Arabidopsis thaliana: one gene and its partner. The protein of the gene in region 2 interacts with the protein of the main gene of each other region in a pairwise test. Each region holds a gene or a part of one and is shown on either strand. Other genes may lie near its edges.

The links.
Region 1: the proteins of IBR5 (region 2) and WRKY68 interact in binary tests that used the Arabidopsis thaliana proteins (3 or more experiments, as listed by UniProt).

Annotation. Positions count from the first base shown.
Region 1 is NC_003074.8:23,065,694-23,074,950, forward strand, and holds WRKY68 (WRKY family transcription factor), read right to left. Parts: upstream 5,387-9,257; 5' UTR 4,942-5,386; coding exon 4,679-4,941; intron 4,599-4,678; coding exon 4,449-4,598; intron 4,356-4,448; coding exon 3,935-4,355; 3' UTR 3,796-3,934; downstream 1-3,795. Other genes in the region: AT3G62350 (F-box/associated interaction domain protein), read right to left, coding at 5,387-6,073; AT3G62360 (Carbohydrate-binding-like fold), read right to left, coding at 7,327-7,432, 7,514-7,587, 7,671-8,027, 8,113-8,341, 8,705-8,796, 8,968-9,198. UniProt on the Arabidopsis thaliana protein: Transcription factor. Interacts specifically with the W box (5'-(T)TGAC[CT]-3'), a frequently occurring elicitor-responsive cis-acting element.
Region 2 is NC_003071.7:1,586,664-1,596,011, reverse strand, and holds IBR5 (indole-3-butyric acid response 5), read right to left. Parts: upstream 7,820-9,348; 5' UTR 7,475-7,819; coding exon 7,229-7,474; intron 6,969-7,228; coding exon 6,869-6,968; intron 6,797-6,868; coding exon 6,739-6,796; intron 6,622-6,738; coding exon 6,515-6,621; intron 6,437-6,514; coding exon 6,174-6,436; 3' UTR 5,846-6,173; downstream 1-5,845. Other genes in the region: AT2G04570 (GDSL-like Lipase/Acylhydrolase superfamily protein), read right to left, coding at 1-76, 186-675, 897-1,265; LpxB (transferases, transferring glycosyl groups), read left to right, coding at 3,345-3,574, 3,688-3,787, 3,867-3,972, 4,349-4,575, 4,669-4,738, 4,848-5,086, 5,161-5,387, 5,488-5,671. UniProt on the Arabidopsis thaliana protein: Required for the transduction of auxin and abscisic acid (ABA) signaling pathways. Dephosphorylates and inactivates the MAP kinase MPK12.

The DNA of each region.
Region 1 (9,257 bases), on a different chromosome or scaffold from region 2:
TCAATGGCGACCCAAATTCTGGGAAACGAGAAGAAGAAGATTGCTGAACGAGACAAATTAGCTATTAGGGTTCGGTACCTGTGTGTGTGAACTGAAATTTTACAGCTCCCAAAATTCAATTTTTAATTTCTTCTTTTGAACCTTCGTATTCTGTAAATAACACATATACCCTCAACTAAAAACCGTCGTCGTTTTGTAAGTTGTCACGTTCTTTATTAATAACCGGCGTCGTTTTACTTATGGTAATCAGAATGAGTTGATCTACAAAAAAAAAACATATTATTAGAAATCTTTTATGCATGCTCTGAAATCTCAAACGAGTTCTTATTATTATACATTGAAGAAGAGGAGTGAAAACAAAACTTTAAAATTGTAAGTAAAAGCCATTTATCATTAATCTAGAGTAGTTAAGAAAAAAAACAACAACATTATATCGTATTAAATCTGCCATTAGAAATGATGTTTGCTCACTAGATTAAATCTAGATTTGCAAAGACTGATGTTTGCTCACTAGAAATGTTTCTGTTGAAAATCGGGAAAACACCAATGTATCTTTGTTCGCTGCCATTGTTGAGGGTCAAAAGTCAAAACCGAGGTCTTGAGATGCACAGCATAGTCATGAAGACGTTCGGGAAATTTTATATTTATCGTTTTGTATGTTCCTGTAACTATATATGTCTTTCCCAAATCCAATGCAAATAGCAATAGAGGCATAAAATCTACAGAGAAACAACAAACATATGTTAATATTCAAATTATATTATCAATTTTTTTATTTTTTTTTTAAGTATATATAAATTTGCTTTCATAAAATTTGCAAGTTTGAGACGAATTAAACGTACGACATATAACCTGGACCATGTTGCATGCAACTGCGTTGGATAAACTTTCCGGTCCTCTCTTGATTTACACTTGATTCAATTTTTTCCCGACAGCTAAAGTTTAGGTTATAATATTAGTGATGATTAACGAAAACATTGTCATTACAATACTTTCAAACAAAAATTGAGGAAATTAGATTTGTTGAAATGATTATATCACAGGTACAAAAAAAAAAAGGAAGACAAAACTAAAATTCACTGACGATATCGAAAACGTAACCAATTTTTGTAATCCTTGCATATGCAAAGACTCATGATAGCTAGTCAACCAAATTATGTACATGATAATTAGTACCTTAACTCTTGGATGCAGACCAAACCACAAGGCCCTATAACTCGACATAAGGTTAAAGTTGGGCACACTGTTCTTGGATCATGAAAAATGTAAGAGCAAGGAGAACAACTGATTTGTGTGTCGATTTCACCTGGATGGTCTCTTGAAAAAGTCTCTAGAAGAATAGTTAGCGAGTTCTCGTCATCATGAGTCCTTGATCCAACAACAATTTTTGGGTTTGATGGGAAAGGACAAACCAGATGTTTTCTAACGAAATAGGTGGATTTGATCATCGATCTCCATTGTTTCGATACCGACTTGAATTGAATTAGAGATCTCACTGGAAGGTGTTGGATGATCTCTCTTTTACTAAATCCTCGGGTAGGACGGCAATCGTTTTAGGGTTTCTTCCCCTTTTTGCCACCTCCAGATTTGCAATAAGGGCTTAGGTTTCCTTTTAGCTTTATTCAATTGTTATTACAAATTTTTCAATATTTCTTTCTCTTACTAATCAACAGCATGTGAAATTACATTAATAACCCAAATGAATAATATGTAAACTTTATCGATTTACCCCATGATGCGTAAATAAAGTATTAATCGCTTATGTGACCATAAAGAAAATGAAATCGAATAATATCGCAAAGGTTCAAAATTCAATATAAGATAAACAATTTTAAAATAACACATTGGCGTCGTCCCTAGTATGGACTTACAAAAACACATTCATATATTGCCTGCCTCCTATGCTGGACCATCGTTCTTCGCGGTCCCGAAAAAGATTGCTTTCTATGTATAAATATATATAGTCACGAAAATTTAAGAATCTAAACCGCTTTTTATATATATTTCAGTAACAAAAAAGTTAGATGATTGAGTTGAGGGTGCTTTACCAACTGATACAACGCTTGGTCACACATATCTCTTTGTTCTTGCAATTTCTTAGAAAGCAAGCTAACCTAATTTTCACCACTTGCTTTTACACATAACTGGTTAAGCTCTATATCTTGATGGCATATAGATTTCATGCATCTCCTGATTTCTCCGCTATAAAAAGTAATAGTCGCACGTCCCAAAGTTTCATGTTTAGGCAGCAACTACAACGACGCTATTAACCTAACAGTTTCTGCTCGTTCTTGTCTGAGTTTTCCTGAAGAAATATCATGAAGAAAGATTTTTTGTTTATCGATTAGTTTGGTTAGGGCGATAGCTATTTGAGTTCGGAGTTTCGCATCTCCATCGATGAGTAGCCTTCGACGACACTCTTCATACCAATGGCATGTGTGAATATGGTGATCATCATTAGAAGCATTAGGGAAAGGCAGTTCTCCAATGCTTCGTTTGATAACAGATAATCCATTTTCGATCTCTGAAATCGATAATGAAATATTCACCAATCATCCATATCGTGAAACCGATTTTCTCCTTAATGATCTCATGATGGAATTGACAATTGAAAGATGCGATGATGTTTTTCATCGGTGGAGCGAGGCAAGGACGGAAATAGTATGACATTTTATTTATTTATTTATTTATTGAGTATGACAACAAATTTTCAAATTTTGCCAATTGCAACTTCCAAACAATCTTTCTTGATATAATTAATAATTTAAAAAGGTAGCCTAAACCTGCAATTTATCAGCTTACATAAAATCCATGTAAGTTTATATTTTTTTTTTTGGGGTCAAATTATTTGAGATTTTTTTATTATTGCATTTTATTAGTTACAATCTTAGAAGATATGTAGCGATTTAATAACTATTTTTACCTTAGGTTTAATTTTAACCCTTTGTCTCTTCTAACCATTAATTACGACAAAAATAATTTTATTAACCACTAATTATTGTTATTTTTTTAATCTAATCCAAAAAGATACAAGATGTTTGACTCAATTCAAACGTTATGTTTAATACTGCTTCCAAACAGCTTGAAGACGGAACGAATCTCAAATGTTAATTAACAAACATACATGAGAGTATCATAATAGACAATAATAGTCCACACGTCATTGTTTTTCATAAAAGTAAAAATCATTTATTAGAGGTTAGGTTAGAATTTGAATTTGTTTTACTCCTTCATTTTCGTTTTTGGGCTTTAGAGGAAACCACAAGAATAAAATAAAAACCAAAAAGAAAACGTTAAAAGTTTAAAATAGCAAGCGACATTGACACTTGACAGTGTATTATATATTTTCAACGCTGCAGGGTAATCATGAAATACAAGTGGTGAATATCTTTTTTACAATTATCATATATATAAGCTCAAGTTATCTTTTTCCTTAATTAAATATATACTGATCCATCCCATATCCTTTTCGATCCATGCATACATTATGTAACATAACATTAGTTTGGCTTTTTCCACATCAATATACCCTTTTGAATCCACCTAATTATGCTTCTCTGTTGAAGGGACAATCAATCAGAAATTAATAAGGTTTACCGACTTTGGCTCCATATGGAGAAAAAAACATTAAACCCTAGCTAGAACGTATCATTGCTCTCAAAATATTGTACATTGTTCGAGTTTGGATATATCAAACGGTTCAATAAGATTAATTAGTGTTTTCATCCTAGATCATCAAACGGGTTACTATAAAATAAAGGAATAGTATATCTCAATTAAACAAGTATGATTCCTCTCGTTAGAAAAAATACCCATCAAAAATCAAATACATGTGTCATCTTGAACATCATCACCCTTAATGATATGAGAGGTAAGGATCCTGACAATTAGAAAAAATAAACCTAGCTAGCTAGCTACATAATTATGCGATTAACTAATACTCTTCCTTAATGATATGAGAGGGAACAACATCCTGAAGAAGGCCATGATCTTTGACTAAACCAGCTCCATCCAGCAGATCCCGAGTTCGACTCTTCTTCACAACATGATCGTCATCATCATCATGATTAATTCCTTTTTCTTGCCTGTTAATGTACTCGGTTCCAAAAGAAGACGGCGCTTGTTGTTGTTGGTTGTTGTAATCTAAAAGCTGAGGAGGGAGTGTAGGGAGGCCAATGTGGGCCCTAGAAGCTGAGCCATTGGATGGAGAGCTGCCTTCTTTGGGCATGATGAGTAGTGGACGAGGATGAGTATGTTGACCTTCGTAAGTGGTGATTACACTGCTTGGATCACTGAATGATCTCTCTACTCTCTTCTTCACGTCACACCAAGTTGTTGTGCAACGGTAATAATTTCTTGCAAAGGGAAAAAAACACAACCCCTTAAAAATTTGTAAACCTCATAATTTTTTTAATCTATCCCAAAGGAAATATATGAGTGTTAATTACCTTGGAAAAGGGCTGTCTTTGACAGGTTTTTGACCGTATTTTCTCCACTTATAACCATCATCTAGATGAAGAACCTCACTCCTCGTGATGAATGACACTTTTGGCACCTTCTTCTTCGTCTGCTTTCTACTCATTTTAGTGAATTTAAACCTATATAATCCCAATTTTCAGCAAGCATATATAGTTGCTACAATTTGGTTTGCAAAACGAAAACAAAAGCTCAAACTCACCGCTTCTTTGTCTTATGCTGCTGTTCTTCTCCATCTTCTTCTTCTTCGTCATCTCCATTCACAGCTTCGCTCGAGGACGAGTTAGGTGTGGTCGGAAAATGCATCAACGGCGTATGGGTGGGTGTATGACGATGAACACCCAGTAAATCCATGAACCCTACCGGATACCTCTCCGCCGATAAATCGTGGAAATCAGACAAGAGTGGGTAAACCCTTGTTTGCCCTAAATCGTAAAACGGCATCCCAACACCAACATTTTCCATTATCAAAACACAGAGAAAGAGATCAAAGAGATTTTATGGTTAGAGAAAAAGAGAGAGAGTGAGGAATGAAACATGGATGCCTGCTAAATAAATGCCTTGAATTGGTGACCGGCTATTGTACGTGGCTTAATGTGTTTAAACAGTAATTAATCTGCGTGTCGTTTGGACAAGATACGTTTTCGTGTGTTTTATTTTTGACCGCTTCAGTAGTTAACCGGTATGACCAAGATATATGCTTTTGAATTATAATTGTAAAATCCTCAGCGTTGGATCATGTGCAGCCCAATACTTCAAGTCATTCCACTATACTGTACCTTCTTTAAATACAAAACATTTTTTTTTCTCTTCCTCTTTAAGTCAAGAGCTTTTCTTTCTACTTGTACTTGTGAAGTTAAAAACTCAAAAGCTTTTGAGATTTATTTAATCATAGAAGGTTGAAACAACATCAAACCAACAAATTTGATGGAGAAATCATAGTCGGCGAATACCAAATCACCGTTCTTATACTATCAAACGAAACTTGATTTTGGTCCTCTCCAATCCTTCGAAAGTGAGCAGCCCTTAGACCAAGCATCCAACATTTTGCATCTAATCGATCGATATTAAGAATATTAAAAGAAAACAAATGCTCCCATTTTTGAGTAGAATCTTGTAAACTCCAAACGTCTAATTCTGAACATTGTCTGTGTAGCACATCTGATAAGCACAAACGCTCATTTAGGCTCCACATTTGCACTCCACGAGTGTAACGGGTGTAACATTCCGGTATTGATACCCATCGAAAATTTTGTGTGTGTAGATCACAAGCTAATATCTGTGAAGGTAATTCTGAAAATATTCGATATTTCCAAGAAGTAAATGTTGTCCACCAAAAGAGTGATCCGTTTGCGTAAACCGGTGTTTGTTCATTGCAAATTTCGTGCTCATCTAAAACGTACCAACCGGCGTCTCGTTGCTTTCCATTATCAAGAGATATAGCTTTGATATTGAAACCATCAAAATATCCATGAGGATGATTTTTTTCTGAGTACATCAAAATCACCTTGTATGATTTTGTAATAATGTCTTTTCCAAATCCAACGCAAAATGGCCTTATGGTCACAAATTCTCCTTCAAATGAACAAAAATACATATATTAGAAAAATTGTCAAATATCCACTCTCCCGTCGTTGGATTGATTAAGTAAAGGTACTTAAAATCGTAGGTCCCAACCAAGACCAATCCGTCGCAAGACCCCAAGACTTGGATAGTTTCGTGTCGAGATTGGTTGATTGGATTATCAGGAAAAGTATAAGAACTAGAAGAAGAAAGACATATTTGTCCGTTATTGTCATGATCTCTTTTAAAAGTTTTCAAAAGCAAAGTTGTTGAGTCAGAATTTGATGACAGTTGATGAACAACAAGAAGTTTCGTGTTCGGGGTTTGTAATCCCCATCGAACGAGACGTTTGTGGGATAAATAGGTTGATTCGATCATCAATCTCCATTGTTTCGACACGGCCTTGAACTTAGCTTGGAAGATATTGAAAGATCTCTTCTAAAATATCATTTGATGTAATGATAGTCTCACGATTATTTTTGTCTTTCTCCATTCTTTTGCAACGAGATAGTTCCCAGTTGAGAGTTCTATATCATCAATATTATATACTTAAGAAAAAAAAAATATGTATCTAATGATCTAATCATCAGTTTTCAACTACTGGAGATTGAAAATTAATGACTTTGAAAAAAGTATAAAATTAATTTATGTAAAATTATGAAATATATAAATAAATCAGCTATATATAATCTTTATCTTTAATAAATACCAAATACAAAATAAAAAAGAAAATGTTAAAGATAAGGATTAAATATTTTGCTCTCACATAATTTTTTTTTAAGTACTAATACTTTGATTTATTTGTTAACAGTTTTTAATTGAAATTAATGTTTTAAATTTTCATCTATAAAAAAATCTAAGAGAAACCTTTTGATATCTAACAATTGTTTCTGTTATGATATTTGTTGTAACTAAATAAGATACAACATATATATATATATATAGTAGTGTAAGTGGAGATTTGTTGATAATTTAGTTAATAGAAAAAAATAAATAGGAATTCTCTCAGATGTATTTGAATTTTGTACCAACTGTATCATTAAAAATTAAATCTAAAAAGTAATGGTAAAAACTGATAACAGCGTTTTTGGAAATAGTCATGGAGAAAAAGATTCTAACACAATTCACATTTAAAAAAGAAGACTAAATTGACCGTTAAGAGTGTTTCTCTAAACTTTAAAATGGATTAGAGGAGTTTCTGAGTTCTGCAATGTTTTGAATAAATTCCCTCTAACGATACTATATAACAAAAAACAAAAAAAAGAAGACCGAAGATGAATAAATTCTTCAGAACGTCTTCTTTCTAGCAACAGCTTTTCGAGGTTCTCTCTTGGCAGATGTAGTGAACCCGGGAGACGAAATTCCAACCGTGGCTTGGTAGATGTCTTTCAACCTTTTTTTTATAAGCATGTGGATTACTAGTTGTGGAAATGTTCCAAATTACAAATGTTACAGTTTGGTAATAAATTATTACCTGGGGATGCTGAGGAATAGAGCAATTGCCGAAACTCCAATAACCAGTGGCAATATAGCTGCAGGTGTCACTTCCTGAAGTCGATACAAATCAAACCACAATGAGCAAACAAGAATAATGGAAAAAATGTCGAAGATTATGTAAGTTATCTATTTACCTGACTCTGATGATCTGCCACAATGCTGTATCGAAGTGGACCAATATGGATTTGGGCATTGGTCTCGAAATCAACTTCAATAATCTCTGATTCTACTTTGTGGGAGATCAAAGGACGACTGGATTTAAGCTGCACAAGGTGCTTACCTTTGGGTAAGCCTTTTACTTGGAAGAAGTTGGAGAGTGGTAGTGGAAAGACATTCTCTATCTTAGATTTATCAATGGCTGATTTGATCTCCACTAGCAGATTCGAGTTTAGATCTTCGTTTTGTTTTCCTTCGACATGGCATGTCAATATGGTCGTTTCTGGTTGTTCAAATACCAAAAAGTCGAGCCCATTGATATCTTCATAACCAATCTATAAGACAATACAATGGTCAGGTAAACTCTGTTGAAATTGCGGATGATGAGAATGAACATTATATGGACAAACAGAAACAAACCTGAAGAGAAACCGACTCTGGAGATGCACGTTCAATTTGATTGTTGGCTGAACCAATTTTCTTCGACACTTTAATTACATATGCTGTATCTGGATGTAACCCTCTCAGTCGATAATTTCCATTAATATCGCTTGTAGTCTCCTCATAGTATCCTTTGGAGTCAGAGCGAGCTTCAATTGCAACACCTTCTTGTGGCTGGCCCGATAGAAGAGCGACTCTACCCATTGCACTGCACAGGAATTGACAAGATATAATGTTACAGAAATAAAGAATGTAATCTAAGCCCACACATATGTGGACAAAAATCAAAATGTGCTAATAGTGGAAATCTATGAGATTGCAATTGAAACTTAAAGTGACCAATGTAGTATGTAACTGGTCATTTTGAATTGGTACAAGTTTCAAAAACAGTGTTTTGGTCTAATTTTATTTCAGGAGAACTGAAACCTTGGTGTAATCATACTTAAATAAGCAATTTTAGGAGTAGAAAGCAATTTCTTCCAAAATCTAATCAAGGTAACAGCTTATTTTGACAAAAGTAAAATCAGGAACGAATAGTGAGAAAAAGGATGATTTAGAAATAGATCAAAACCTGTAGGCAACACGAGTAGCCTCAAAGACAGCTTCACTGGATTCCCCAGAATTCAGTTCTATAGCCAGTGTTGAAGGTTTGAAAGAATATTCCTGAGAAACACGATAGATAATCAGAAAAAATTTCCTTAATTTCTTTTCGGCTACTTTAACGTTTTGAGAAAGCCTTCGAAGAATGTTCCCAATGAAAGCTATTGGCATTTCTATTTAAGATCACAGTCAGTCAAGCTTTGCTAAGAATGCAAGGGCGTATGGATTAATTACCTTAAGAAGGGGACGCAAGTAGAAATTTCCAGGGAATAAGCTATCAAACACAAAGAGTCCACCAGCGCCAGATATGGAATTATTTCTGTAACCATGATCGCCACTTAATGATAACAACAGTGGAGGTATTGATGTCTCAGCATTGTCCTTTGAGTTTACACGCACAGAGATCTGACCAAGCTTCTGGCAGGAGAAGGAATATGGTCCTAACCTTTTAATATGGTAGCCAGGCTGCATGTGCAAGCCAGATTAGGAACACATTATTTCAAAACAATTGAATGTAAGTGAGA
Region 2 (9,348 bases):
GGGTTATTCCTTTGACAACCATATCCCATCTCGAACATCCCTGTCGCGCAACATGCCGCTCCCACCACCTCGAACCCTTCATATTTTTCACCAATCAAACATTAATACATATAGTTATATATATACAAATTAGAGATAATATAATGAAGTTATTTATGATGGAATTGTTAATAGCTATAGCATACCAAAGGAGGAAGGGTTCTTGATGATCCGCATAAATGGCTCATAGGGATTTGAGAAAACGAGGTTGGAACCAGGGAGCTCTTTGCTCAGCTTCTCAACCATCTTATCAAGCTTGCTGTTGAACTGGACGGCTATGTCGTTGTACCGTCCTACGCACTCACCTCCAGTGCCAATGTTGGTGGCTCTCTCTAAAGGCATGCATCCCATTGGAGGTAACCCACCTAGTGAGATCTTTCTAGCACCAAGTCCATGCAACTTCTTCACAAATTCTTTCGCGATTCCGGCTAGAAAATCTTGGTAAAGACTGACGGAATATTGCGAAGAACGGCCCGGAAAGGCAAAGTAATTCTCGAGGAAATCGTTGGTCCCTATGCTTATGAGGTAGAGAGAGCTTTCTATAGTCTCTGTGCCTCTGTCTTTTCCTTGGTATGCTTTAAGTTTTGTTTGGTATTCTTTGTAGTATTCGAGTTGTTTCCATAGAGGTAGTACCGACTACAATCGCAATCAGTGGAATATAATTACTACATGTAGGATAATATCCCAAAACAACATTTGCCAACAAAACAACATGTAGTACAAAGATTTGTTACATTATATAACCAAGACAACTATGATAGTTATACTATATATCTCATCAATCATAAATGTCTATAAAGACGTGTAGTTATGTAACATATCAATGTAATAAATACAAGGGAGAGAAAAGTCCGTACCAGAACATCAGAAGTGGCGTTGTCATAGCCAGTGGCAGCAGAAGCAAAGGTAACACCTGTTGCAAAATCCGAAATGTTATAAGAAGGATCCAAGTACGCCGGAATGATTGGTTTAAGCCCTAAGGCTTCGGACATAAAATCCGTCGCAATCTTTCCGTTACAAAACCGTCCGGTCGGCTTTCCACCAACAAAGTCCCGTCCATATGGCTCAAAGTTGCTTCTAGCAACAGTTGGGATATAGTTGTTGTTCCCGGCATCAACGGAAGAGTCGCCAAACACGATGATCGCGGGTATTTTACCGGCAAATGTTACGGTTGAAGACATAGCTATTAGGAAAAGAATTGTGAAGAGACTTTTGAGGTGTCCCATAGTGTTTGTTTTTGTGGTTATGATTGTGATAGTGTGATTCCATGAGCTGTATAAAAGAATAGAGGCCTCTCTTTATAAGAAAACATGAGTGTTTGAAATGTGGTTTCATTGAATAAGGAGAGGTTTGTTGTGTGTTTCAATTAATGCTGAAAAATTCTGGTGAGACATTATTATTTTCAGCACGATTTGTTGTTTGGTCGTTTGCCGCTCCATCAATACTGCTCTCTTTTACCGTTGGATTGACTTTGCTATGTGTGTACTCTCTAAATTTTTGTAGTTATATGATTAGGGATATGACTAAAAAGGGAAATATTTGTGTATTAATTCTTCAGTTAGGTTTCAGTTTATGAAAGGAATTATCTGTCGAGAGACTAAATGATATATTTAGTTGAGTAGGGTCTACATATCTTATCTCATCATCAATTCAAGTTGGAATAATGTTTTGGGTTTTAAACGATATGGTCTCAAAATAGTTAAACTTTCTGAAATTAGGATCTTGATTACATGAAGGACCTTAGATTTAATCCTCTTTTTTTTTTTGTCAACCGATTTACTAAAAAAACAACAACTCAAACGAGCTATTTGTGGAGTATGTTGTTTATAAATGTGATATGATGTGGTTCGATACGGAGTTTTCGTGCCAAATTATCCGCTTTTACATCTGCGAGAAATTAATAATAAAAAAAAAGTGGAGAATTCTTCTCTATTGCTCTTAAAATCCGCCAAATATTCTGAAGGACCTTAGATTTAATCCTATCTCCATCAAAATATTAAGATTAACTTTGGAAAAATAAATGATATTTTTGCTTTTAAAGTTTGATGTAAGTAACATTTTCATAGTTTTATCAAATTCCATCGCCTTAACGTTGTTAAATGCAAGAATTTGATGTGATGTGATATAAGTTCACCCTTTTTGCATTTTTAGTGATCATGAAGTATATGTTTTATAGCCAAAATGAGAACTGAAGTACATGAACATAGCTCTTTAAACTAAAGCCCACAACAAGAAACATAACAAATAAATTAGGACGAAAAACACGAAACATCCAACAACATGACTTAATTATGAGACCATGTCATTCCTCCAAAGTATGATTGGAAGTGTATCTCTTTTATTACAATATTTACTATCGCCGGGATTAAATGAGACGATTAAGAAACATAGAGAGGATTTCACAAATATCTAAAAGCAGAAATGGTGTGATGAATAAGTCAATTATCTATTTTTCCCTTAAAGAGAAAATAAATTTAAAGAGTTTTTGGAATAATAAGCTTTTGTGTTTGTAGCTTTTCTTTTATATAGATTTCAGACAACCCAAAATTGAACAGTTTAATCTTTTTTATCCATATGACCAACCTTAAAAAAAAGTTAGTTTAAGAAAATCAGAATCCTAAAGGTTAATAAAAAGATAAGCTAAATTTATCAAATATTTTGATAGTCTTGGTTACTATTTTTATAATTGTCAGTCCAACTTTTTGCTATAAGCCCCAAATATCAAACTTTTTGCTATAAACCCCAAACTTATCCTAAGTAATACTCAATCTGTTCCTTTTTGTTTGATCCTTTAGGAAAAACACAAATATTAAGAAAACATATGAAATGTTGCTTTTAAATTTACTGTTTTTCGTGATTTACAATTTTCAATAACTCTAAACCAATAATATTTAATAATTTGTATCGAAGTTTACAATTTATCAATTATAACTAACAATTATTGCATTGAAAACCTAAAAAATAATCTTTTTTAAACAATTTTTTTTTCTAAACAATCAAACAAAAAAGAACAGATGGAGTACTAATTTAACAGAAGAAAAAAACTCTTACTTGATAAGTTTTAGATCCAAAAACAATAAACATAGGCCATTCAACATCTACAATCACTCACTGTAAGTCTATAACTATCACTGTCTCCTAAACAAGTATCACTATGACTGATGGGCCTCAATAACATGCTGATAAGAAGTGGGCTTAAGAGGCCCATTAAAGTCCCCATGAGAAATCTTGCTTTCATCGCAGTTCATTGTTTAACAACGTCACTTTCACTCTTTCAGAGTTTTTGATTCTCTCTCTTCTCCGAAATGATGTTTCAGATTACAAAGAGCAAACTTCGTTTCCCTCTCTCAACATTCACTAAGAGATACTCATCATTTCAAGCTGCTAAATCGGTGATTGACAAGGCTGCAATCGATGGGGAGCTCAGAGTTTTCATCGTCTCCGGCGAAGTTTCCGGCGATAACATCGGTTCTCGTCTTATGTCCTCGCTTAAAAAGCTCTCTCCTTTACCCATCCGTTTCAATGGAGTTGGAGGGTAAGCACTTGGGTTTCCCCCAATTTAGAAGTTTCTTATGAAAAGTTTTGATTCTCAATTGAAAATTTCATAAAGTTGGAACATTTGTATCTTTGCTTCTTACAAATTGATAGATCCTTGATGTGCAAGAAAGGATTGAATTCGTTGTTTCCAATGGAGGATTTGGCTGTAATGGGTGTATGGGAGCTTTTGCCACATTTGTATAAATTCCGTGTGAGTAACCTTTTGAATGGTTTGATATAAAGCTACTCTAGATTCTTTTGATTGACTAGTCTAGTTTTTGAGATACTAGGTGAAGTTGAAGGAGACTATTGATGCTGCGGTTAAGTTTAAGCCACATGTTGTTGTGACTGTTGATTCAAAGGGCTTCTCTTTCCGTTTACTTAAGGAGTTACGAGGTAAACAACACAAAACTTGTTTCATCAAACTTGTACGAGAGAATCATTGAGCTTTAGTGAATAGAATGCTTGCTAAACAGTGTCGCTTAACGACTAAGACATACTAAATTCAAAGCTTCATTGTGGTTTTCGAAAAGCACAGTTTTCTTGAATAGTACCAAGATTTATGTATGGAAGCTTCTTCTCCAGTAGGAACATGTTTTTGCGTAATTTGACACTAATCTCTAGGATGATGTCCTTGATTTTGTTTTCTGTAGTAGAAGTTGAAAAAGTAGAGAAATAGGAACCTTAGAAATGGCTTTTTGAAGCCAAACATTCCTGAATGAAGTCATATATATCATGTAGGACAATGGAGGAATGCTTTTTGGCTTTGCAGCTAGATACAAGCAGCAGCGGTTGGAAAATTGTTCTGTGCATTTTCACTATGTCGCACCGTCGTTCTGGGCTTGGAAAGGAGGAGAGTCAAGACTTGGAGGTCTGTCTGAATTCGTTGATCATCTTTTCTGCATTCTTCCGAACGAGGAAAGGGTTTGTAGGGAGCATGGGGTTGAAGCAACGTTTGTTGGACATCCTGTTCTTGAGGATGCTTCTGAGTTCGACCTTGTATGCGTTTTCTTCTTCTTCTTCTTGAATTACCTCAGTTTCTATGACACTCTGTCAGAATTCTAAGTGAAATGGTGCTCTTTTCTGCCACAGGTGAGAAGGTGCAAGCCTCAGGAACTGAAACTTGAAGGCTTGAGTTTTAGCGAACACTCAATACCTTCTGGTAATGTGAAGTTTATCAAAATGATTTAACTTTTCTACAGATTGGATATCTACTTTTATTGATATCTCATTGTTCTTCTGCTGCATTGCATAACTTTTCATGAAACAAGACTCCACTGTCATTTCGGTTCTACCGGGGAGCAGATTACAAGAAGTTGAAAGAATGCTACCCATATTTTCCAAAGCAATGAAGCTACTCAAAGATCCGTTTCCAAAACTAGTAACGCTTATCCACGTCGCATCCAATAATCAAGTTGATCATTACATTGGAGAATCCTTCAGTGAGTGGCCAGTTCCAGCAATACTAGTCCCTAGTGGATCCACTCAGCTTAAATATGATGCCTTTGGCGTAAGTCTTTGAAACCTCGTTCTAAGTGTCTCATCTGTTTACTCCTCTCATTTTGCGGTGTTCCATAATAACAGGCGAGTCAGGCTGCATTATGCACTTCAGGAACAGTTGCTGTTGAGTTGCAGCTTGCTCATCTACCTTCCCTTGTTGCTTACCGAGCACATTTTCTAACAGAGCTATTAATCCGTTACAAAGCCAAGATACCTTATATTTCTCTCCCAAACATTCTCCTAGACTCCCCAATCATTCCTGAAGCTTTGTTTCAAGCTTGTAACCCTTCAAATCTCGCATCGATACTAGAGTATATCTTTTTCTTTTCACCCACTTTTACTTTATATTTTGTTATCTGGCAATTGAGAAATGGGCATGATGATGACGTGAGATGTTGTTTGAAACTGTAGGAGACTACTCTTGGATGAAAAGATGAGAGAAAGACAAGTTGTTGGTGCTGAGAAGTTGATACAGCTCTTGCATCCGTCAGAAAGCAGAATGGGCAACTCAATTCATTGCACTGGTTTGGAATCTCATCGATATACGCCAAGCATTTTAGCAGCTTCGACTATTCTTAGTTATGCCAGGCGTTAAAAACTATCGTGAGTCACATGCCTTTGTTTGATACTAGAGTACGCTGAGATACTTGCTATAATCTAAGGTTGAATTTTTTTCATAAGAGTTCTAACATATGGTAAATTACAGTTAAAGGCGAAATGATCCATGTAGATTAGAATGTCTCAGCTTATTTGGTTTGCAGTCTAAGACAAACAGTCAAAAAGGGCTTTCGAAAGCATAAAAGGATAAAGTGAAAGTATTGAATGTCTAAGCTTATCTGCTTTGCAGAAACAGATAAGATCCTACTAGTGTGGCTTGTCATAACTGGTTTAATAGTATATTTCGCTGTAAAGATCGATACAGAATTGTGGGAGAGTGAGGAATAAACCAGACAAAGATGCTTCCAATCTCATGTTCTCAAACCCCAAACTCTCTCAAGCAATGCACCAATCTCCATGTACAAAAAAGAAAAAGAAACATTCTCACAACAGTATATTTGTTGATGAAAATTCTTGCAAGAGTATATGATTATCTGGTTCTAAGAGCCATCCATTGCAATATCACCACCAGTTGTTGGCTTTGGTGGAGTTGCTCCAAAAGTGAACTCCTGAGGAGGGATACTTGAAGCAGGAGATGAAAATATAGAAGAAGTAGGAGCATTGTTGAACACAGGAGCTTGTGCTTGATTATCAATCTTAGGGAAACCAAACCCAAACGTTGGAGCATCATTAATATTCATCGCCGACATCATCTCAGATCCGAATATCCCCTGCTCAAACTCCTGCAGTTGTTGGTAAAACTCTGTGTACAAAGAAAAAGCAATGAGTAACAGTTTCAAGAACAATAAGTAAGTTTCTAATCCAAAGTCTAAGTACTTGCCTGGACTTATGTCAGTGCTTGGTCTCCGTTGTTTAACCCACTGATGACTCTCAGCGAGTCTCCACCCTTTTCGTTTCATCAAGTACGCTACAACAACCGCTGGTGATCTGTCATGTAATCGAAACACAAAACATATCACTCTATTAGTCTAAATAATTAATGGTAATCATAAGAAAGCAGCCGCAAGTTTAGGATGAGAGTAAGAGAATGATAAATGTACTCACCTACTTTTCCCAGACATGCAATGCACAAGAACACGTGCCTTGTCCTTCTCACATTGGTCTACACAAAGCAAGACCGTCAAGAAAAAATCATAAAGATGAAATCTAGAAACTTGAGATAGAATCAACATACCTAAGAACTTAATAGCATCATCAAACTGTAAAACTTTTTCATTATCAAGACCATGATAAGTGAATGAATTCCTGTAGAGATTCTGGCACATAGGAACCGTCTGAAACAGAGTAACAAAAACAGAGTCAATACCAACAAATAGTAAACAACACATTCCTCTCTATTACCATAACAGGAACTTTAACAGAAACCATAAGTCAACAAAACGTATAAGTATAAGAAAGATTCATCTACAAGGCAAAACCCTAACTAAACAAACCGATTCAAAGATTCAAAGATCTTATCTTTTTCTTAAGGGTCATCATCAATGTTTAAAACAAAAGCAATTCATGAATTCAAAATCAAAGCAAAGAAACTCACATTAAGAACACGAGAGATTCCTTGAGTCTTAAGAAGCTCAGAGCGAGAAGCGTTGTCGTAACTACCGAGGTAAAGAAACTCAGGGAGAATCTCCGACGGAAAAGCACTGACGTGGACTTGTTGCGGCGCCACCGTATCGGAAGAAACAGGCATACAGTGACCACAGACTCCACATACTTCTCCTTCCTCGTACTTATGGTAATGCCCACAAATCGAACAAGGGTTCTCTCTTTCTCTCTTCCTCATAATTTGATTTCGAAAATTAAACCTAGATCTGATTTCTGATCAAAACCCAGATCAGAGAAAACCCTTGATTTCACAGACGGAGGAAATTAGGGTTTGGGTTTGGAGAAATTTGTTTGAACGGAAGAATTGGGAAGGACGGAGAAGAAGGAGAGACTTGAGAAGAGAGTTTTTTTTGTATGAAGAATTGTTTTCTTCTTCGATGGGATTAATACTGATTCGGATAGATACGTGCCACGTGGAGTTTAGATTTATGTAAATCTTCTTTAAACAGTCTCTCAGTTTAACAGGTTCTGTAATAGATACGGGAGAGAGAGGATCTCTAACTGAGTCAAAATTGTTAACTGAGCCATTTATTGCAGATTTACTTTTCTTTTTTTTTGTTCAGGATTTACAGTAAAAATAAAAAAGAATTTTTTTTTTTTATTTAAGTATATAGTCCATTTTTTTATTTAATTTTAAATTTCCAATAATATTAAATCAATATACATGACAAAACGTTTAAATAAAGTTACAGGCCCAAATACACAATAAAAACCGAAATTAGGCCGCATGTCCAAATAGATGGCAAAATGCCAAAAACCGAAACAAGGCTCCAGGTCCAGAAGAGAAACCAACTGAATCTTCTACTGAAAAACGCCAAACCAAGTGACAAGGAGAGATGGACATGGGCGGATGATCTGTTGAGCTCTTGATAAGAGATCGAGGTGACAACAGAGGATGTTTTTGATCTCAAGAACAACTGTAGAGGCAGGTTTCCATATATAGTCCATTTAATGATTGGATTTTGCTAATTCTGTTAGGGATATTGTTTTATGCTAATTTCATACTTATTATTATGTTAACTTGGTTTTAAAGGGTAAAGTAAAAGTTTAAATAATAAAGTTATTTAAATTTCTTTTATTTTTGTTGTCGACCGCTAATAATTTAGCTTAAAAGAGTCATTCCTAAGAAATGTTGTTTACATAGGTAATATGATGCGGTTCGATACGGATTTTTCTTGTCAAAGAATCCGCTATAATATTTACACTACCAAAAATTAAAGATGAAGAAAAACTTGTGAATTCTTTCTTATTGTTCCGTAATTCCTCCAAATACTCTGAGAAAGTCGTCCATTCGGTTGGAGAAGACACTATATTCACCAGGTCTGAACAGTTTGTAAAAAGTTATTTAAACTTTATTAAATACGAGAACAGTATTTGATAAGGGAAACTGAAATTAAATTATTTATTTTACAAAATTTAATAAATGTGACTTCTCGCAACGTCAAAAATATATGTACATATATATATATAATAAATGTTACGCAAATTATGTAGAATTCATTGTCATTATGTATGCATAGTAATTAACTTTTTTACGTCTACATAAACGATTTCGATCGTTGTAAATGACATTCATTATTTCAATTACAAGAGAAGTAATAAAACATTTTTCTCCTCTTTTGTCTCTTTACTATTTAGTATTTTGATCACTTTACAAGTTTAAAAATAATCTACTATTTATATTTATATCCACCATAAAAATAATTCACTTATTTGTAACAATTTGTAAATTTATAATTCGCTATAAGTGTTAAAATATAGGAGATTGACATAAATGACACTAAAAAGGTTTATTATTGCAAAAATGACACATTCTTTTAAAACTTGTACAAATAGCACACAAAAATTTTAATCCTCTAAAAATTAATTAAAATAAAATATAGAAAATACACAATATCTAATCTCATTTCTTCCAAATCCAACAGCTTTGCCTTCGAAAAACCCGACGACTTCGTCGCTCACCGGATCAAATCTGAAATCTTCAATGACACTCTCAACTAAGCCCTTGAATGAGATATTCTCATCTACCTCACAAAGGGATCCACCTTTGTT